Linked DNA regions of Lonchura striata. The protein of the gene in region 1 interacts with the protein of each later gene in a biochemical or structural test. Links are inferred from orthologs where the notes say so. Each region holds a gene or a part of one and is shown on either strand. Other genes may lie near its edges.

Region 1 (11,690 bases):
TGAATATTTTCTCTGCTCCATGTATGTGGTGTCTTGTTGGCCAACAACTTCAAATCCTGGATCGCAAGTCTCTTCACAGCCTTCCTGGGGTCACTTTTCAAGTACTGCAACAAAAGTTGAATCTGCAAGAAAATAAATTCAGTGCTTAAGAGTGATGCTACTAGAAGGAATTATTTTCAAAAGCACTCAGGAAGAAATGTTGAGCACACTGAGACAAAACTAACTTGAAAAAGTAAGAACACGCCAGCCATGGTTTTTAGTCTTCATCCCTACCCTGGCTACCATCAGTTTTATGCAGTATTAGTTGCTGTGCTGCAGAAATATAGCCTAAATCTCCATGTTTGCTGCCATAAAAAAAAATATAAAAGCAGCACATTAAGTGTTCTAATGTTGCTTCAGTAGACTTAGGTTCAGTACCATCAGAAGTATCATCTGAAATACAGAAATGATCCACAGCAGAGTTTCAGACAGATCAATGCCATTACCTAACAACCACAGACACCAGCCTTGCACAGCTGTACAGGGCTGAAAGAAAGCAAATAGATTTTTGTGACTCCTTTACAAAGAAAGATTAGCTGGATGAGTCTCAAGTGTCACTGTGTTCAGAGCTGCTCTATAAATCACATCCACAAAGCTCATTATCAGAGCATAAAAAGCACTGTATTTTTCCATCACTGCTTTTCCATTACTTGGTTTATAGTCCTGAATTTAAGGAAGCAATTGAAATTCCTCAAAACTCTCCAAGAAATACACTTTAAATGCATTAAATATTCATGTGCTTGCATGAAAGAAAGGCAAAAGGGACACCCACAACCCACAACAATATACAGAAGTGCTAAGTAAAGCCTGGTTTCCACAGGCAAGTTGAAGCTCTTTCAGAAAAAGTCAGGGTGTTTATTTTCCTGCATGCTGATCTATCCATGTTGATTTGAATCCCATTGTTGATTTGAATCCTTGATTTAGAAAAAGACCTGTTATGAACTGTAAAAAAGGTGTAGTGTGTTTGATACAGTCACCTGAAAATGGAACCAGAAAAGGTTAATATATGACAGCAGCAGCAGTTTTCAGGGTATTCTTCTTCGACAGCACACAGGAGCAAGCAACCCAGCACAGCCATCACTGTTTATTTTGATCAGCAGGCAGGATCTGAGTGCTTTTAAAATGTACTCTGTACTTCAAGAGGAAGACATGCCTTAGGAAGAGTTACCTGCTTGGGAATGTCAACCAGAGAAGAAGCAGCAAGCAGAGTAAAGGTGTGCAGGGTGACAATGACCATCTTGGTGGAGGGGTAGGATGTCACCAGCTGCTGCAGCAGCTGCCGGGAGCTGGAGGCCAGGCTGGCATCGTGGTGCATGTGCTGCAGAATAGGGATCAACTTCAGCTTCAAGTCCACAGGTGTGGCCAAACCTCAATAAGGAGAGAAACACAGCCAGAGTTAGTCCTTGGGCTGGCTTTTTTTTGGCAGCTCTGAGGCACAGAGTACATCTGGCTTGCTACCACTGCTGAAAGGAGATTGTGCAAACACCTGCAGTGGCTTCAAATAACTCATGTTCTAGCTAGGTGTGAAATGACAGCACTATCAAGCACTTCCATGGTTGTTTGGGAAAGCTGCTTCTTGCTTCACTGCAGGTAACACGCAAATTAACTAATCTGAAACAACCTATGAGAGTCTATGCAAATTTATCCATCACACTACAGATGGGCTTTTATTCTGTACCAAACAGGTGCTTTGAAAACTTAAATTTTAGGAGGATTTAAGATAACCAGACAGACTATTGGTCAGCTAATTTAAAAACTGGAATAATCTAAGGGCAACAGCATTCTGTAAATATAATAAATATAATCTAATATGTAAATATGAATAATGAAGAATTTTCAGAGAAATTAAAGTTTTTCCTCTTTATCATTCAACATACACACGTACCTTGAATCATCTCGCTGATTTTATTACATATTCCAACAGCAAAATCCCTGCAGAGAAAAGAAAGTACCAGGTGAAATGAAAAACAAAAAATTAAGTAATTAAAAACTGAAAAAAAAAAAATTGACTGAACTACCAAACACAATTAAAAGTTACACAAAAGAGTACCTGCCAAAACCTAAGTCTTTTCAGAACCCCTGCACACAGGCATGACCAAATGAGAAAATGAAGGCATTCAAAAACTAATAAGCAGCACTACATTTTGCTAATGTAATTTCTGTAAAATAATTCTATGAGATTGAGAATTAGAATAGCAGATTTAATCATGATTGAGAGCTTTCCATTTTAGGGAAAAAAAAATCTGCTGAACTTGCATTCAGATTTCCTTACATCATTATTGCACATAATTGTTTTCTATAAAGGACAGCACAACAGAAAATAGTAAGGTTTGTGAATGCCAGTGTTAATGGAGCTTCCATTCTCTGTAATGTGAAAAAGTAAAAAAAAAAACAGTTCTTACTTAGACTGTGCAGAAAAGTTGGCAGCAGCAAATATTGCAGCTTCAACTTCCACATTATCATGGGAATCCAAACTCTGGCGAATACTGTGATGTGCATTCTTCCTTTCTGGAATGATAGTTGCCATGCTGCCCAACATCCTACAGAAATAAATCACAGCAGAATCAGGAAGAACAGTGATCGTGAAGAAATAATGAAACCAAATAAAATGTAAAAAATACTGGTTAAAAGTCTATGTTTATATAAATATGTGCTCTTTCATGACTATTACAGAAACAAGCAATTACTAAAATTAAGCATCTAATTAAATGTAACAGATTTTGTTGTGTGGGTTGTGTCAGCGGTTTGATACAATTTAATTACATTTTGATACCTTTTAGCTTGAAATTGGCACAGTGAAAAACCTAACAAAAATTCTTTTAAAATTAAGAGCATATAGCATGATTTATTTCCAACATCTTTCACTGATGTAAGATAAGGTAATTAATGAAAAAAGTGCAACACTTTTTGTATAACTGCTAAAAAAGCAGCAAATCAACCTATACTTTGCTAAAAATATTTCAAAGAGAGCTTACAGGCATATTTAGCACAATCCAATTAAAAGAATAATAAATGTAGGATTTATATTGATGGTAATTTTAGCTAGAGTTCTGTGCAAATATTTACAGTTATCTAGCAATAAAATTCCACAGACAAAGTTTTGTTTAAGCAGCTCCTTCTTTCAACATGCTCTTCCTTATTGACACTATTCAAGGAGGCCCAAAAAATAAATCAACAAAAGATTTTAAACTGAAACTGCTGAACCGACAGCTACTTTAACATTTTATTTGATGCATCCTGTGAATTCAGTAATTAAAGTACTTATGCAAACTGAGAGGATTCCTGGGACTTGTAGCAGCCTGTGAAGATAACCCTCAATGCCAGTCAACAACTGCAATCTTATATTAGAGCACTGAAGAGGAACTACAAAAAACCATGCAGACATATTGTATTTACAGATTTCTGAGACACCAGGGCATGAAAGCATAACCTCAAATGAAATACTGAAAGAAAAAAGAAATGGACACTTGACCTCATCAATCAAAGCTCTGTTAATGATTCCCCATCTCCCAGCAGTAACAGTTCCAGATGGAGGCACAAAAAGAATATAAAGAAAGAAAGTGCTCTCTTCACATTTGAATTCACCTGCACAGGGGCTGGAAAATGCAGTTAAAAGGATCATGTTGGATAGTATTAGAGACACAGTCACCAAACCAGCAGGACAGTGACATGAAAGACAGATTAATTTTGTTTTCCCATTTGATTCCCAGAAGTTCAAAGCAATCAGTAATATAACAGCATTTCCTTAGAAGTTATTGATCAGAGATCATCTAGCAGTTCTAGCTAGGACAAGGCAGAATGAATAGCATAGTGCAAGCATAACAAGGTTCATGTAAGTTTTGGTTGCAAGTTAACAAAAACTATTTTGACACAAAAGGAAGCACTTTCACTTGGTCTAAAAGTATCCTAGCAAGATGAGATATATCACATATAGCTCCTGTCTGGGTTATGCATACAACAGATTCAGTTTTCTTCTCTGGTGTACATAAAATTTCAACACTGCAAATTATGTTTTGCCTGGGACCATCCACAAAATTCTTACCATCATAAATGGTTAATAACCTTGTTCTACTTATTCACAAAATTCTTACCATCACAAGTGGTTACTACCTTGTCCTTGTTATTACCAATCCTTATCATTCATGCCTTTGAAAGACAGATGTTTCTGCTTTTAACTCTATGAGCAATGTATAAAAAGCCTCCTTTATTTAACTCACAAAATCACAGAACGGCCTGGGTTGGAAGGGACCTTAAAGACCATCTAGTTCCAAACTCCTTGACATAGGCAGGGACATCTTCCACTTGACCAGGTTGCTGAAAGCCCCATCCAACCTGGCTTTGAACAGTTTCATGGATGAAGCATCCATGAATGCCTCCAACTTCTCTGGGCAACCTGTTCCAGTGCCTCACCACACTCAAAATAAAGAATTTTTTCTCAGTATCTTATCTAAACCTACTTTCTTTCAGTTTGAAGCCATTTTTCCCCTTGTCCTATCACTAAAGGCTCTCCATCGTTCTTGTAGGCTCCCTTCAGGTACTGGAAGGCCACAATTAGGTCACCCCAAAGTCTTCTCTTCTCCAGGCTGAACAATCCCAATTCTCTCAGCATTTCCTCACAAGAGAGGTGCTCCATCCCTTTAACCACCTCGGTTGCCTCCTCTGGACTCCCTCCAACAGGTTCATGTCCTTCCTGTGCTGGAGGCCCCAGAGCTGGACACAGAACTGCAGGAGGGGTCTCAGCAGAGGGGAGCAGAGAGGCAGAATCCCCTTCCTTGGCCTTTGGCTGCCCAGGCTCTTTCTGATGTAGCCCAAAACACATTTGGCTGTCTGGGCTGCCAGTGAACATTGCTGGGTCATGTCCAGCTTTTCATCCACTAGCACCCCTAAGTCCTTCTAGGCAGGGCTGCTCTTGGTCTGTTCATCCCCAGTCTGGACTGACACCAGGGATTGCCGTGGCCCAGATGCAATGCCTTGCATTTGGTCTTGTTATTCCAGACAGGCACATTGATAGACCTACAGGTTTGAAGTAAATCAGAATCATTCACCAGATTTGAAGTAAGTCAGATCACTCATGCCATACATACCGCAGTGTGATAGCCCGAGCAACCGGATCATTGCTATGGATTACTGAGAAAACTCTCTTGACAAATTCATCCACATTTAGGATCTTCTCTAAGTGCTTCTCACTCTGCTGAGTAACTTTCAGCACACACAGCCTCAGGAAGTTGTTCCTGTTAGAAAACACATACGTTTCCTTGTCAGGCTATTTTGAAACAAAAATTCAAGTACTTTAAATACTAAAATTATTTAACTACAACTTTTGGAGCAAATTAAAACAAGGAGATATCAATGCTTTAGAAACATTTGCGTAGACTGATAGAGTAAAACAGATACTATTAACATACTATTGCTTTATTTTCTAGTTCAGGTAGTGTCAAATTAAAGCCCAGTTCCAGGGCAATGAACTTGCTGACACCAGTGAGGAGGGGTGTAAGGATGCCTGTTTTGTGCACACACAGGGATCCAGATCTGCTGGAAAAACACATTCAAGACTAAGACAGAGAAGTCTTAATTACCACTGTCAAGTGCTGAGCAAATTTATTTTCCTTCCTGAAGGCAAGAGTGAAGATTCCGCAGCATCAGAATACACCTTTGTAAGCTTTTAAGAAGGAGTTTTGATTACATTATGTACATCACTCAGACACCAGGCACTTGGAAAAGCTATACTTTGTGAGCTTTGTTAGATTAAAATTGGCACATGTGATCATCCATCCATTTATGAGTTATGATTTGAATGTGCTTATGGAGCAAAACTTACACCAGTGAACTTAACCCAGTCAGAGAGAGAATCCTCAAATCAGGACAGATGGAAAGGAACTGTGTCATCACTCACAGCCACTCAAGCCCACTAAAGAAGGGGAAAACAAGTTCCAATCAAGCACAGCCGCAACAGACCGGGTACCAGAACGGTGCTGGCAGGCAAGCAGGCCATGCCAGATCCCAGCGCAGCCACACTCCAAGGCACAGTGCGTTCCCACGGAGCAGGCTCGAGCGGGCAGTACTCACCCCACTCTGAAAACATCGGCTAGCTTCAGGAACGCCGAGTTGATGAGGATGGGGAACGGGTATTTCTGGAAGAGCCTCGGAAAACGAACGACGGCTTCGCACTGCTCCCCGAGCTTGCCGGACCTGAGGCCTAGAGGAGACAGCAGGAATCACCGCACAGCCCCGGCTCCTTCCTCCGCCCCCGCCCTGCACAAAGCGCTGCCAAGCGGAGCCCCCGCCCCAGCCCCGCTGCCCGGGGCGGCGACAACGCCGAGCCCGCGCGGGCCCACCCTTGTCCAGCTCCATGAGGGCGGAGTTGGCGTCCAGCTCCTGCTCGCCATAGCCCGCGTCGGCCAGGAAGGACTTGGCGCTGGCCGCCATGGCTGCCGCTCGCCGCCGGTCCGCGCACGCGCAGCCGCGCGCCCGGCCCCGCCCGCCCGGCGCGGCCGCGGGAGCCGGCGGCGGGCGCGGCCCGCCCACCCCCGTGCTGCCCAATCAGAGGAGGCGGGCGAGGCGCGGCGCGCTCGCCGCTGACCAATGAGGGCTCGCGGCGCGCTTGGCGGGCCGGTGGTTTGGCGGGAGCTGGCTCGGCCGTGTCCCCGTGGCCATGCTGTGCCGCGCGCTGCTCCGCCGGGCCGCCGCCGCGCCCGCCCGTGAGTACCGCGCCTCCCCGCCGGTCCCGCGCCTCCCGTCCGGTACCGCTCCTTCCCGTCCGGTCCCGCGCCTTCCCGTCCGGTCCCGCGCCTCCCCGTCCGGTCCCGCGCCTCCCCGTCCGGTCCCGCGCCTCCCCGTCCGGTCCCGCGCCTCCCCGCCGGTCCCGCGCCTTCCCGTCCGGTCCCGCGCCTTCCCGTCCGGTCCCGCGCCTCCCCGCCGGTCCCGCGCCTCCCCGCCGGTCCCGCGCCTCCCCGCCGGTCCCGCGCCTCCCCGCCGGTCCCGCGCCTTCCCGCACGCCCTCCCTTCCCCATCCATCCCCGGCCGCCCGCACAGCCGCGGCGGCCGCCTTGCGGCTCGTGGCGCCCGAGCCTGTGGGGTCTGAGGCGCTTACGGTCCGTCTGTCCCGTTGTAGGTCGGTCCTCAGCGCTTCCCCTGCAGCATCTCTTGGACAGCTACCAGTGCAGCCGAGAAGATGACCACCTGTCGTACGGGGGAACGGGAATGCCAGTCCCTCCTTTCGGCTGCACCTTTTCTACAGGTAAATTCACCTCCTGAATGATCTTTTGAGGGGCCAGGGTATAGGTTCTGTTTCAGCAGTTTCTTGTTTTAAAGTGAGCTTGCTCCTGCAGCCTGCTTGCTCCTACACGTGATAAACTTTGGATCGTGGTGCACCTAGATACTGATGGAAAGTATTCCCTCAAAGAAGCAACTATAAAGCATTTATTTTAGTGTCTCTTTGTTTCATCTGTGTGTGTGCTTCAAGGCATGTCCTCTTGGAGATAGTGTGAGGCTACATAGGCGAAAAACTAGGCTTTATTCAAAATATCTAAAAACTATAATAGGGTGGAGAACATTAGGTAGAAATCAGAGGTGGATGGATGTCACCAGGAGTTACACACAGCATTTCCCCATGATGGGGGAAAGGAGTAAGCAATGGAGCTCCTGGATCTTTAGGGCAAAACTTCTTCATTCATTGTACTCTAGTTTTGGCATGAGATTTTACATTTCTCTAAGGTGGCCTCCTTCTTTTCCAAGTCAGATCATGGAAAATGCTGGAGGCTGTAGATGATAGGTACTCTAGAGATAGGAAACTGTAACTAGAAAACTGCTATAGCTGGTGGAAGAGGTATTATCTCAAAAGTTGTTTCTGGAGTCATTTGATTGCCCATGTATAGTCATTTTAGAACGGCACATCTAGAAAAAATGCTTGCTAGTATTTCTGTATTTTTACAGTTAGGTTGCTATGTAAATGCTGTTTATTTCACAGCTTTATGTTTGCTGCATTCCCTATTTAAAACATCTGTGGCTTTCACAAAGAGCAAGGGTAGGATTTTGTATTAGCTACATAATATAATACGCTTCAATTTCTTTTCAGCCCCAAATTTGGAGCACATCCTGGCAGTTGCAAATGAAGAAGGGTTTGTTAGACTGTATGATACTGAAGCACAGACCACCAGCAAGCTCATCTTTAAAGGTAAATGTATAGAAGGTGATCTTCATTTGATGTGACAAGTGTGGGACTTGCTGGAATCAAAGAGAGCTTTTTGCAAGTCCTTAAAACGTAAATTTTAGGCAGTACTTTATTCCTTCTGCATAGCAGCAACACAATGTGCTCTTACTGCAGTAGTAGATGAATTGTTCTGTATTGTCTTTCATGCCTAAGGCAAACTGTTGACAAGATTTCTGATTTCATGACAATCCAGATGTCATTTGCAAAATACCATGCTGCGATGCACTGAACTAATCTTGGCTTTTGTTTTCTTGTTAGAATGGCAGGCTCACTCAAATGCTGTGTTTGACCTTGCCTGGGTGCCAGGAGAACACAGGATTGTAAGTAGTCTTTTGCCATCTCTTTTTTTTAATGCCTTGGCACCTCTGTACAGAAAATGACTTAAGCTTTTTATTTTTCCCTCTGAAGGTCACTGCTTCAGGAGATCAGACAGCCAAGGTGTGGGATGTGAGAGCTGGCGAGCTTCTTGGCATATGCAAAGGTCACCAGTGTAGCCTCAAGTCAGTTGCTTTTTCTAGATTTGAGAAAGGTAAATGTTGGTATTCCCTGTTGTCTGTTTTTTCCTTCTTTACCCCCGGCAAAGTACTTTTAAGGGCTGAAAAAAGGCTTTGGAAACTGACGGGTACCAATAGCACAGGCCTGAGCAGTGACCCAGCCAGGAAAGCAAAACTGTCTAGTTAGAACTCGATGGTGTCCTTATGCTAAAATCAGCACATTGCTGATCTTGGGCAAAGATAGGATATCTGCTTCCATACCCAAGCGTGTGAATATACTTTCCATGAGCTGGTTTCTCTAGTGGGAGTAAGAAAAGGATAGTAAGGGAAAGATAGCAAGTCAAAAAGCATGGAAAAACAATGGCCTGAGTTTTATATTTCCAGGACTGGCATCACAAGTGTTGGGACAGAAGAGCCAGAGGTACATAGGTGCATTGTACTGCATTCAGTTAATTAAATGAATGCTTTTAGAAGGTAATAACACTTTTTTTTCTTGCAGCTGTTTTCTGTACTGGAGGGAGAGATGGAAACATCATGGTTTGGGATACCAGGTGCAACAAGAAAGGTAAATAAACTTTCAAATATGTATCAACAAAGCTTGGTATCTCGTGTAAAAGGACTGCTCAGATGGACTTGTTGGACTGATACTTTTAATTACAATGTAGGCAGCAGAGGCTTCTCAGATAACTTTACTGCTTTAGGTGCTGTAAGAGAATGGAATAGGTATCTCTGTTATATATGTATAAGACATTTCTCTACTTTGCAGCAGTTGATGATGTGCAGCATCAAACCACAGGCTGGTTTGAGAATTCCATGTGTGTAGGTAAAGACATGAGGCTGTATAGAATACATCCCTGCTAGGGCAGTGCAAAGCAGATGAGATAGGAGAGATTGCTTAGGTCAGAGCCATCCAGAGGGGTGAGGAAAAGCTGGAAAGGCTCCTGCCAGAGTAGAAAGGAAGGCAGAAAATGTAAGAAAAAGGAGCTTGTGAGTGCTGGTAGCAACTGAATATATTGTGGGAGCACCTACTATAAATATGTGAGCTCATTCTGCTCCTCTGTTTCCTGGAGCTTTTCCTTCTCCAGCCCCTTCCCCTTATGCCATTTCCCAGTTCCCTGCTCTGCCACACCAGTTTCTTTGCCTGAACATGTCTTGCTCTTCCATCTGTCCCAGGTTCCTTGGCTTTTCAAGCAGGCAAGTGAATGAAAAGTTGACTGACTCCACATGATTGAAGTGGAAGGTGTAGGAAAAAAAAAAGTAGAACAGTCGCCTTACTCTAGTAAGGCAGTACATTTCTAAAGGTAATAGACAAAAGGCTGAACAGGAAATTATAAAATAGAGCACTGGAAATCTTCCAGTGAGTGCAGTTCTGCTTGGGATGAGTGGGTAGAACACTCAGACCGGGATGCATGTGAAAAACAGATAAAGGGGTAATAATTTCCAAAGGCAGTCTGCCTAGATCAGTTTTAGTTTCAATGTTCATGCTACACTGACCTCTGCAGTTTTTTGCACTGTGTTTTTCTCACTGGTTTTGTATATAAGTAATTTTTGTTTTCAGGATGCATGTATGATTTTAAAGGTTAACCTAAGTTACCTTTTAGGTCTAATCCCAAACTGATGCCTGTTTTATTAAAGTGATAGCAAAATTGCATATAAACTACTAATTGAGATGTCTTTGATTTCTTTCAGATGGCTTTTACAGGCAGGTAAATCAAATCAGTGGAGCACACAATGTGGCTGAGAAGCAGACTCCTTCCAAACTGAAGAAGAGGAGGCAGAACCTGAGAGGACTTGCTCCCTTGGTGGTGGGTATCTGGGCAACAAACAAAATGTTCCTTCTGGGGACAGTGGTATTCACAGAATTCTTCCTAAGTAAATGTAGTGAGAAATATGTGGCTTGTATGTGGTAAATGCTTCCATTTACCTTTGCAGAGATAGAGTTTTTTGTCATGGTCATTCACAATGGCTAATTTTAGACATTGTTTAGTTGCCTAACAGCCCACATGCCATAAAAGCCAGCTTTGGGCAAATGCTATGTGAAAATACAGGGGGGATTTTTTTCCCTCCCCAGGGAGGAAAAGAGTGGCTAGCATTCCCATTTTGAGGAGAGAGATAGGGAGAGTTGTAATTTTCTTTTTTTACCCCCTTAATTTGACCAGATAAATTACTGCCTTACTGGAGGAAGACCTGATAATTTTTCATCTATTAAACTTCGAGATGAAGGCAGCTCTCTTATCTGTGAGCTGAAAGGTGTAATCTCAAACTGCTGCCCAAACACTTATCTCTCAGTGGCAATTTCTCTGGTGGGAGTGTTCAAAGCATTGTTGTGTCCTAAATGACATCTGCTGTTTCTATGTTCTGCTGCCTGGCTAGGAGGAGGTTTTCACTGCGTTCACACGGCCTTGAACTAAGCAGCAAGATCTTGCTGACCTTAAAAGAAAATAAAATTCTTTTTTCCTCTCTTTTTAAGGATTTCCAGCAGAGTGTAACTGTGGTGCTGTTTCAGGATGAGCATACTCTTATCTCTGCAGGAGCTGTTGATGGGTAAGGAGGGAGGATGCCTGCTTTCCTGTCCATTCTGTGTGCTCAGTGGCATAAAAAGATTGGGAGATTTTCTCTCTAAGACCACTCAGTGGCCAAGAAGGCTAGAGCTACTGCGAAGTGGAATCAGTAGCTATGCTGCCAGCTTGCACTGGCTTTACTTCCTTACTGGAGATTGCAGTACTGGACAAGCTGTGATATGTGGTAAATGCTCATTTTAATCTTAGCTATGGGGCAGAATGAGAGCAAGTCTTCCCTCTCTCTTTTCTCACAGACCTATGAGACCACACATAGACAGACTATTGTTAGACAGCCTTATGGATGTGAGTGGGTGGTCAGAGCCTGGACATGTGTAGGCATGTTTGAGAAAATGTTGCTTTGAGTTACAAAAGATGCATTCTCTTAGG
Region 2 (10,797 bases), on another chromosome or scaffold:
CCAGACCTTCACCTCTTTAAAGATCCCTCCAACAGCACCGCAATCCGGGGGAAGGGCGGGAGGGCTCCGTCTCACGGCGGCTTTCGGAGCCGCTCCGGCACCATAAATCAAACACTCCCCCCATCCCCCCCGGCCTCGTTTCTCCATTTCAAACCTCAACAATCGGCGGCCGCGGAAAGAGCGCACAAAGGCGCGGGCCGGGCCGGCCCGGGGGGCTCTGCCCGCGCAGGGCTGCGGCGGGGGGGAGCGGCTCAACCCAGCGCCGCGCCCGCCCCCGGTAGAGAAGCGCTCCGCCAGAACCGGGGGGCCCCGCCGCCCGCCCCCGCACGCCCCCGGGCACCAAGTTCGCGGGACAACCGGGGCTCCGCCGGGGCGGCGGCGGCGCCCGGCCCGCCCGCCGCGCCGCCCCCGGCCCACCGGGACCCCTGCGGGGGCGGCCGCGCAGCCTTCCGGGGCTGAGGGACCGAGGGAGACGCGGAGCCGCTCCCAGCACAACGGGTCCTCCCCGGACACCCCCGCGCCGCCGCCGCGGGCCCCGGTGAGGAGCTGAGGGGAAGAAACCCCCGGGGCGGCCCCACAATGCGGAGAAGCGGCCAGAGGCGGCCAAAGAGGCGCGGCGCCAGGCAAAAGAACAGCGCGGGACTTACTCTCCGTCGCACTCGATGCTCCCGCGGGCTCCTGGAAGTCTCCGCCGCCGGCCCCGCCGCCCGCCGCTTTCTAACTCACGGCCGCCATCTTTGCCCTCCCTCCCCTCACAGGGGAGGGGGGGGGGCCGGAGGAGGGGGCCGCCCGCACCACGTGACCCGGGCCGCGCCTCCCTCCCCCCGCCGCGCCGCGCGCGCTCCCCGCCCACGTGACCCCGCCAGCCACCGCCCGCCGCTGGCGCGCGCTCGGCACCACGTGACCCGCCCCCCCCGCCCCGCGGGCTCCCCGGTCACGTGGCCGCCGCCGCCGTCTCGCGCCCACCCCCCCCCCCATTCCCGTCGCCGGGCCCTGGCGCGCGTTCCCCGTTCGCCCCCCCATCACGTGGCATGCCGCGCCTCGGTTTCTCTCCGCTCTCAGCAACGGGGAGGTAGCAAGTTCCCCCTTCTCTCCCCCACCCCAGAAAAAAAAAAAAAAACAAAAAAACCCGGCGTATCCACCGTCCTTCAAATAAGCGACGTCCCCGCGGGCGGGCCCCGCCCCAAAGCGGCGGCCGCACTCGAGCCTTGGCGATCCGGGCCCGGTTCCCGGTAGGGTGGGGGGAGGGGAAGGCGGAGGCGAACGGCAGCGAGCGGTCACGTGACCTAGGGCTCCCGCAAGATGGCGGCTGCCGGCGAGAACCCGGCAGCGCGGCGGAGCTCTCGCGAGACCTCGCGTTTCTCGCTGCATCACGGGGAGGGGCGGGGGGGGGGGGGAGGCGCCGTGCGCGCGCCCCCGCCTGAGGCGGCGTTGGCGGGACCGGGCCGGGCTCGGTGTGAGCGTGAGGGGAAACGGGGAACGGCGAAACGGTGTTCTCTGAGCTCATCCCCGCCCCTGCTCCCGCCGGTGAATGCCTCTCACTTCAGCCGGCCCCCTGGTCCCGTCCCTCCGCGGTTGGCGGCTCCGAGCAGCCCGGTGCGGCCGGTGCCTCCCCGCCCTGAGGCGCCGCCACCTCCGCCCCCTCACGGCGCCGCGGCCCTGCGGAGCTCCTGCACCGGATCTCCCCCGGCAGAACGCGGGAGGATTTCCCTGCTGCCCTCCCTGGGAATGCCCAGGGGATGTGATGAGTTTTCCCTTGCGAATGTTTTACAAGCTGCTAATGTGAAACTTGCTGCTGCAAAGAGTGAGTTAAAATCTGGAGACCACTCGTGCTAGTTTCACATTTGGAGACATTTTTTTTAGCGCTGGAGGCCCCCCAGACTGAGAAGACTTGTTAAAAGAGACAATCTTCCAATAAAATGCTTTCCCAGTTGTGTAAACCATGAACATTTGTGAGAACTTTCACACAGAATTGAGGCAGACAGATGAAGTGTAAGCAATTCAAATGTGCAGTGCTACTTATTCAATCTTGTGCAAGTTTACTTATCATTAGACAAATCTAACAGAGATTAATATACCCAATAAAGGATTAGACAGATTAAGGGTAAACTATTTAAAGACAAAGCAACGTTAATTAAAATGATTTAAGTAATTCAGATTAATCAGTGATGCTTCAAACGGAGAAAAAGATGACAGAAGTGAGGCCAGAGACCTGAAGAACAATTGAAATGGCAGCTTTTATCTTGATTATTGCCCTCTGCACACTTCAGATGATGAAGTACAGCTCACACGTGCTGAACCGAACTTTAAATCTCAGCAGCTCTGTACAAACGTGACAAGGAAGGGAGGGTTTTGATGTCTTGAGTTGAAAAGGGAGTTACCTGTCAGCGTTTGTGATCATCCTCGACTGCAATAGGTGAGTAATCCCGCTGGTGGAAATGCTGCTTTCCATTGGCGTGGAATTAGCACAGGCACATTTGTCTGCAGGACTCTGTTTCCATAGAATTTTGGCATGTAATTCACGGATCTCGCTGCACTTTCTAGTCAGAGATTTTTTTTTTTTTTTAATCATTGGTAGATACAATTCTGAATGTAATTATATTTTATAATCTATGAAATGCAGTTAGCACCTACTGGCATTTTACTCTGTGACTTTATAAAATGATGTTGCTTAATGTAACACTCAGCAGTTACCCTCAGGGATTATTTTTACTTGATTTCTAGTGGCTGAAGCACAAATTGTAGGGATTTCATCTTGTGAACGAGAAATTTGTGTAAATGCTGTCATTTATTTTGCAAATTGCAAATATGACAGGTGCTGTGTGAGAACTTGCTCTCAGGTGGCAATATTTAACAAGCATCTCCTTGGTATATTGGACAGAAAATGAGACTACTAATTCAAAGATAAAATAAGAATTTTTTTTTAACCTGGATGAAGTGTTCATCTAGACCGAAGAGATTTACCTTGACGATTTTCTACCCTTTCTGAGCAAATCAACGCCTCGCTCGCTCTTCCTTCCCTTCCCCCACAAAACAATTTCACATTTCCGCAGTAAAACGTGGTGCTCTCGGGAGCTGCTCATGCGGCACTACGGGAGAGAATATTTAGGTCACTGGGTTTTAGCGCTGCTCCCTCTGGATTACGGGAGTCGGCAGCGCTCCCTGCATGTGCCGCGTGTCCCGAGTCACAGTGACGGGCGGCTCCAGCCACGCTCTCCTGGGCTGGAGCCTTCAGCATTTCAACTTCTGCTCATCTCTGGCTTCTGGCCGCAGCCAGCTGAGGGGCAAAGCCAACATGTTTTGCTAATTCACAGCGTGATCCCACCGCGCCGGGAGCAGCGGCCAGTTAGAGATGACGTTGTTTTCTTTGTTGCTCTGGGGAAGAGAATTCCTTGGCTTCCTTTGCCCTCTACTGGTGGCCCGCACGGCTTCGATGCCAACTCGGTGCCTTTGCTTAACATACATATGTAAAATCATAATTTAAAACACACAACCCCCAACAGCTGAGCAAAACTACAGTTGAGGCCGTTTCCAGAGCTTTCCCAAGACATTAGGAAGAGTGCTCCCTATTACTGTAAGAAGGAAATCATCTTAGTAGTTTATGAAGATCTTTTTTTTGCCAGTTACATCCCTGCTGTGCAATAAGTACAGTGCAAACTGGGGTGGAAAAATCAGAGCAGTGTCTGCTCTGGTGCTTGTGCAGAGAGTTTGGAGTACCTGCCTTGGTGGAAGAACACCATGGACGTGGATGTTCATGGACGTGATGCCCAGAGAATGTCAGCTGGCTGCAGCTTTGAGTTTACAGGGGAATTCCCAGTGAGTTTTGGTTGCCTCTCTGTAAAATTCATTTGCCTGGTGATCGAAGACCCAGATGTACCAAATGACAGTGCCCATGAAGAGCTGGGTTTGTTCTGTCTTCTCCCAAAGTGCCTGAATGCAGAACTGTCACAGGAAAAGTAGGGAGTGGGCTGGAATGCTGTGCTGCCTTCTGAGACTCCTCTGCAGTCACACTGAATTCCTGCCCTCTGAGCTCCCAGCTGCTGTGGGACAGCTTGGAAAGGACGAGGCCCCAAGTTCTTACTTAAGATGAGAAGGGTTTTTTTCCTGTTCTTAAGGGAAAGGATGGCTTTCAGCTGTACCACAGACTGGCTGTTTATGTCACTGTGGGAATGCCAGCGACAAGCAGCAGCCTGTGGCTACAGATAAGCCTGGGGTGGGAAGCCACCCCTGTGGCGATAGCGCTCGGGCCAGCACAAGCACCACAGCCCCAGCTCCTGAGCACACACACTCTGTAGGCCTCGATGCAGGAGGGGTGGCACAGATAGGAAACAGGAGTCCTGCACCATTGCTCAATAGAAGCGTTCTGCTTGTCGTGGAGCATTGAAGTCCTGTGTGGCAATTTCCTGATTTCCATGATGGCATCCACGTGGCATCCATCCAGATCCCCTGAGCCACGTGTGCTTTGCCTCATTGCTGTGTTACTCTTTGCCATTGTACTTTCTTGATTTCAAAGTGCATGTACTAGTCCTGTTGGAAGCTTCTGACAAGGAAGTCGATGCTGAAGGCAGTTCCAGCTCTCCTGGTGATAATGATGGCTGTCATTTGCCTTTGTAATATTTTAGCTGCCCTCGTTATGGATTGGAGATTTACATAAGGTCTTTGACACTTCAGTGCAATGCTGGAGAATTACCTGCTCTCCAGGCAAGCTTGGAAGATAGAACTAATAGACTTAAACTTCAGCCAGGGAGATCTAAACCAAACATTGTGTAATGCAGCCTAATAATTTCGCAGAGCAGAGTTTTACAATCCCGCCAGGATTAGGGGTACCCCGAATCCCTGCTGCGAGGTGGCGTGGGCCGGTGCGGAGCGGACGGGGGGTACCACGGTGCCCCCGCGCTCCGCGGGCTCGCACGGCCCCGCTCGCGCCCCGCGCGCTCCCACCACGTGGCGCGGCCCGGCCGCGGAGGGGCATTCCCTGCCGGGCCGCCAATCAGAGCGCCGCCTGCTCTCGGCACGGACCAATCAGCGCCCAGCGAACACACATTTAAACCCTGCTCCCGGGAGCCGCAGCCACCGCGGTGTGACAGGGGGAGGGCGGGCCATGGCCGCTCGCGCCAATCAGAGGCCTGAGCGCGATGATTGGCAGGCGGTTAAACCAATGGGGTTGCCGAGGGTAACGCGGCGTCTCCCTGCGGAGCGGTTGGCGGCGGCGGGGACTCCGCGGGGACAGCCGGGGCCGCCCGGCGCGGGGGCTCCGAGGCGCGCGGCCGCCGCCGCCGCCGCCATGGCCGGAGGTGCGCGGGGCGGAGCAGGCAGGAGCGGAGCGGGGCCGGGACGCGGCGGGGCCGGCGGGGCTGGGCCCGCGCGGCGCGGGGCATCTCCGCGGCGCGGAAGCTCCTCCTGGGAGGTGCGGGGAGCCGGGGCCGGCGGGACTCCTCCCCCGCGCGGTGTGCGCAGCTCGCCGGGAAGGGGCTGGGCCGCCGCGGCTCGCCCTGCCGCATCCAGCCCTTTAAACATGGCGCAGGCCGGGGCGGCCGGGCGATGACCGCGGGCGGCAGCGCCGGACATGGCTCAGCCGCCGACCTTCCCCCGTTGCTCCTAGGGAAGAACATGCCCAAGACCAGGGCGGGCGGCGTGGAGAAGGCAAGCCCCGAGAGCGCCGAGAGGAAGGGCCCTAGCCGCCCCCGGGCCGGCGGGGTAAGCAGTGCCCGGGCCTGGGCGGGCGGAGCGGGGCGGGCGGCTCCCGGGGTCTGCCGTGCCCTCCGCTTCCCCCCGGGGCGGGCGAGCCGGCGTGCGGGCTGCCCCGGGGAGCCGCGGGGCCCGGGCCTTCGGGACCCCCTCAAATCCGCCAGAAATCGGTTAACTTTAAGTACGGTCGGACTCTTTCCGTGTTTTCCTGTGCCCTACCGCAGACAGGCACTAGGCTCGACATTCCCTCCGTGCCATCTTCCCCGTCTTGTAGTTCTGTCACAGGCAGCTGGCCGGACGCTGCTTGTCTCTTTGCCTTTTACTCCCAGTGGGAATAATTGTGGCTGTTGCATTAAATCCTGGAGCCCCTCTCTAGCCTTCCGTGTGTTTCGCTGTGCTGAGAAAATCTCTGCTCCCCGGGGTCTCAAGCCTGGCACAGACAAAGACGTGGCAGCGGCATCTCGGTTGCGCCAAGAGCGCAGCAGGAAGGGAGCTGGGAATGAAGGGAGGAAGCAATGCTGGAAAAATAGTTGTTCCTTTCCCGTTCATGGTGTATTCAAAGCCTGAAGGCTCAGCTGGCAGGTGGACTGCAGCTCACTGCTTTGGGCTTTCTCCCAAAATGCCCGTATTTAAACTTCTTACTAAATCTTGAGGACTTTGAAGCTCAGGGTTCATTGCTTGTATTTGTTAAAATTGAGTGTTTTCATAGTATTTCATGCTTGGAAGCTCCGGTTTTTTAATAAGGAAGTTTTGCCTTTCATAGGCCTTTCAGAAATATTAGAGGTCAGGGAGTGTCTGTCCTGTTTGCTTTTTCTCAGGATGTTCCATCGTAATCTCAGTCTTTAGTCGTTTATATTTGGACTAAGATTTGAGCTTTTAACTAGTCTAATTTTGTGTGAATTATGTACATAGGAAGTTTGTTATTCATTACCACGTTAATTATTAAAATTATCCTATCTGTTCTATTGTGTACTTTGTTTACTTTTTCATTGTCTGTGTCTGAAATACTGAGGTATTTGTTTAGTCAGCAATATTTGAGCTTTTTTTGACTACTGGGACCCTTTGTTCCTTGCTTTTCTAAGAAAATGGATGCATATTTTTGTTGTTTTAACTGGCATGCAATGTCTGAAAATTGCTTTTGGTTGAGTCAAATTATAGCCAAGAAAAACTCATTCTGCCCAAGTTGCATCTGTTTGTCCAGACTCTGAGATTTCACGGTTGGAATGTGCCTGCCATACTCTGCACAGGCAATCATAGCCAGGTGGCAGGAGGCTGTGAAAGCAAAGGTGACAGGACTCCACTAATCTTTGCTAAATTTGACACTGCTCACTGTTGGCATCTTGGAGCCTGAGCCAGCAAACAAACCCCAGGCTCTGTGGTGTCTGGCCATACCAGAGGGTTTTGCCATTTTGCCATTTTCCTGACTGGGCTTTGCACAGATCCTTTAAGGGCCCTTTTTTTTTTGCCATAAACAACCTTTACACTTTATTTTTATGTCATATAATGGATAAAATATAGCACTGTTTATCTCCTATGCTTTGCTGAGAGGTGTCACTCAAGGTAGGCTGTAAAACTGATTTCTGTGCTGCTCAGTTGAGCATATAATTTGCTGCAACAACATTTGATACCTCCTGAGAGTAGCTGGGTAGATCATACCGCTCTGGCTGTGAGAGCTCTCTACTGGGCCTGGGCAATTTTTGCTGCACTATTCATATTTTTTTTGGCATGTGCTCTTTGAGGCTGCCTTCCTCCCCAGGAGCTCCCACTTGGGTTTTTTTTCACACCAAAGTTCATACTGTGAAGCACAAGGGTGGAGGCTGGAGTTAGCTATGACTACTCCATCCTGCCACATTTTATTATTTAAGTTCTCAGCACTCTGTTTTCACTTAGAAATCAAAACCTCAGTGAGTGTGATGCTTCAAACAGTATAATTTGCATCAGCACAATCACCTGTCAGCCCTGGTTGCTGCAGACGGTTGTGGATGCCAGCTTGAGGTTCCTGAACTCTCTGTGCTGAACTGATTTTTTTGTGTGGGTCTGTTTTAGGAGAATGTGTTTATTGGTCAATCCAAAATCTACAGCTACCTGAATCCCAACAAACCTGGTGCTCGCCCCCCGCTTCAAGAAGAAAACTCTGTCATGTATCACGAGGTGAAATGTCAGGGCAAAACACTAAAGGAAACCTACAGGAAAGGAGCTGGTAAGATTAAGCTTTGGATTGCTTATCTTGGTGAAGGTGCTCCCACTGCCCCAATTCTAATATTTTCATCAAGAAATACAAGCAGTGAGGATGAGCCCAAACTGGATGCCGAGTGGCAGGCTTCACAGTGACTAGAAATGGGAGTGTTCTGTAAGTTTACCAAGGGGAAGAAAACCCATCTGGCTTGTGTTTAAAGGTGCATTTAACAGCCTTGGTAATTTGTCAAAGTACTTTGATGCAAACAATTTTACAATCAGGCATTTTCAGTCCCATTTGACACAAGGAGTGTCAGGCTTTCTGGAAACTTGGGGCCTTTAGTTCCTAATTTGGCACCCCCAGCTTTGGCAAGGAGGTAAAGATGGCTTTAGTTTGTCCCACTGCTGAGGCCTTGCAGCTGTGCTTCTTTTCTCCAGTGAGACTGAAGCATCTGTCTCAGCAGATGGGACTGTTAAACCTGATGGTTTACTCTACATAAAAACGTTGATGAGCTTTAAACCACTCTCGCCTACCTCTGAGTCAGTTATCTGAGGAGGAGGATGTGGTTGTATTGGGGTAGGATGCAAAAAAACAAGTAAATGTTGGTTGTTGTGGGGAGTGCGGATTTCTTGTCAGTGCCAGCCCTTTAGCTCCCATGGATTTACCCTGGGTGGCACTGGCCTCTTGGTACCAACATCTGCAGCTGCTGAGCCCAGCAGTGCAGGGTCATTGTTCTCCTTTTTCTCTCATTTGACAGAACTCTAAACCACTGGAATTCATTTAAAGCACTCAGGTATAGTTGGTCCTAAGTTCAGAGCCTTACTCGATTTCCTTGTCACCAGGAAAAAAGAAAGGTGGCAAAATAATTGAAGGTGCTGTGAAACCAGATGACCAGAAGGACAAGGAAGGTGGGTGCAATCCTTCGGTGCCCTCTGATCAAAACCAAGAAACTGTGGAAACCCAAAAGACTCCCTTGCCTGCAGACTGTGCTGAGGAGGCCAATGCAAAGCCAGCTCAGAAGAAGATGGTTAAAGCAAAACGAGGACCAAGGAAAAAGTAAGTGACTTCTGGAATTGTGAAAGGATGGCTCTTTGTTTTCTCAAGAATATCATGCTTTAAAAACCCTAAAATAGCATCCAAGTACCTACTTTGCAGAGGACTTGTTTGTCTTGTGAAAGCAAGGTTAATGTGTTCTATTGTTCTATCACAAGTTAAATGTTTGCTGGTTACCTATGGAAGAAAATAATGAGCCATTAAGACCTACTTTCCTGTGGACAAATGGGAATGTGTCTTGTCAGAAACAGAACAGTTGGAGGCTTCCTGGCTGAGCTGATACCCTTTCTCTTGGTATCAGAGTAATATGACCTAACATTAATTAATTCCTTGCCAAGCAGTTTTCATGACCTAAATTTTCGAGTGCCTTCTGGCAAGGCACGCAGGGGGCCCCAGACTTGTAATGTGACCTTCAGTTGATTTCCAACGACATCTCACTTGTATTGTTCAAGAATTAGTACTGGAGTAATGGAAATAGTGTGGGGAAGAAAAGGGGATGTAGCTGTGGCTTGAAACTAAGAGTACTGATAAAAAACACTGATTCATATTGATCACCTTTCAACTTACCAAGCTCAAATAAAAATTTATCGCACATACCTTTGCTCTAGTGCTTTAACTTAACAAATAGTCTGAAATATGTGTGTGTGTTCTCTTTTTCTTCCCCCTTAGAACACAAGGAAGAACACCAAACAGAAAAGTGACGGATTATTACCCAGTTAGAAGAAGTTCCAGGAAGAGCAAATCTGAATTGGAGGTAGTGTTTCTTGTTAAAATGACATTACTTATAACATGTCTGACTAGCTGAAAATCTAACATGTGTAACTATGGTTTCCATTCAAAATGCAAATAAAGTTGTGCACTTGAAGTATTGTTAAGAACATGCTTAAGCTTTGGAAATGCTGGTCCAGTTTAGAGCAGAATCTAGCTGTTTATGTATTTTGAGGGCAGAAATCTTTCTGCTGTTCAGTTTGCTGGAAATATGAGATGGTTTGGAACAATGAGTGTCATTGGTGGGTAATTTCCTTCCAGCTCTAGAAGAAGCTACAAAAGCTATCAACAACATTATGGTTTTGTTTGTTCTTGTTTATTCTGCAGACTGAGGAAAGGAGGAAAATAGATGAGCTGATTACAAGTGGGAAAGAAGAAGGAATGAAGGTAACTGCAGTGCCAACCAAAGTAGTCATGTACTTTTTATTACAGAGTATCTTGATGTTAATCTATTTAAACAAAGAGTAGCAGAACTCAGTCTCAGGACCCTGCAATCTCTGATGAAAATGCAGGAGAACTGGAACACAGTCCTTCCTTTTGAGTGAGCAATGTCCTTTTGAGTGGAGGATATGTGTGTGCTGCAGCCTCACTTATAAATCTGAGGGGGCTTTAAGGTCTTCACAGAAATGCACTCCTGAGTTCTTTCATTGGAAGACTTTGTGTCCAGCTACCCAGTAACTCAGTGTGTCACAAATTCATCCTGCATTCCACTGTGCCATACATTGTGCTTCTACAGCTTTGTCTGCAGTACACACAAATTCCCTTTTGCAGCAGCTTTTTAATGACAAAGCATTTCCTAGTAATCAGCATATCTGCAATGATGTTAAGCAGCTGGGAAGTGAGAGAGTATTTTCTTTTCAACTCAACAGATTGATTACATTGATGGAAAAGGGAGAGGAGTAATTGCTACTAAACATTTTAATCGAGGAGAATTTGTGGTTGAATATCATGGGGATCTCATTGAGATCACTGATGCCAAGAAACGAGAGGCAGTATATGCTCAAGACCCATCCACAGGCTGCTACATGTACTATTTCCAGTACCTCAGCAAAACCTACTGGTAAGCTCAAGTTGCTATTGATAGAGGCTTTGAATGCTTCTAATTCTTTTCT

The links.
Region 2: the proteins of DTL (region 1) and KMT5A form a complex in vitro, tested with the Homo sapiens proteins (2 studies listed by BioGRID, with this or other methods). The link is inferred for Lonchura striata from reciprocal best matches to the Homo sapiens genes DTL and KMT5A.

What each region holds. Positions count from the first base shown.
Region 1 is NC_134605.1:12,059,451-12,071,140, reverse strand, and holds the start of DTL (denticleless protein homolog), read left to right. Parts: upstream 1-6,691; coding exon 6,692-6,737; intron 6,738-7,150; coding exon 7,151-7,276; intron 7,277-8,113; coding exon 8,114-8,212; intron 8,213-8,506; coding exon 8,507-8,568; intron 8,569-8,656; coding exon 8,657-8,777; intron 8,778-9,241; coding exon 9,242-9,307; intron 9,308-10,431; coding exon 10,432-10,547; intron 10,548-11,212; coding exon 11,213-11,286; intron 11,287-11,690. Other genes in the region: INTS7 (integrator complex subunit 7), read right to left, coding at 1-122, 1,208-1,407, 1,925-1,971, 2,442-2,579, 5,124-5,270, 6,106-6,235, 6,375-6,465. UniProt on the Homo sapiens protein: Substrate-specific adapter of a DCX (DDB1-CUL4-X-box) E3 ubiquitin-protein ligase complex required for cell cycle control, DNA damage response and translesion DNA synthesis.
Region 2 is NC_134620.1:13,053,412-13,064,208, forward strand, and holds the start of KMT5A (N-lysine methyltransferase KMT5A), read left to right. Parts: upstream 1-5,461; 5' UTR 5,462-5,541; coding exon 5,542-5,697; intron 5,698-7,734; coding exon 7,735-7,888; intron 7,889-8,706; coding exon 8,707-8,920; intron 8,921-9,586; coding exon 9,587-9,671; intron 9,672-9,979; exon of another isoform or gene 9,980-10,012; coding exon 10,013-10,072; exon of another isoform or gene 10,073-10,554; coding exon 10,555-10,745; exon of another isoform or gene 10,746-10,797. UniProt on the Homo sapiens protein: Protein-lysine N-methyltransferase that monomethylates both histones and non-histone proteins. Specifically monomethylates 'Lys-20' of histone H4 (H4K20me1).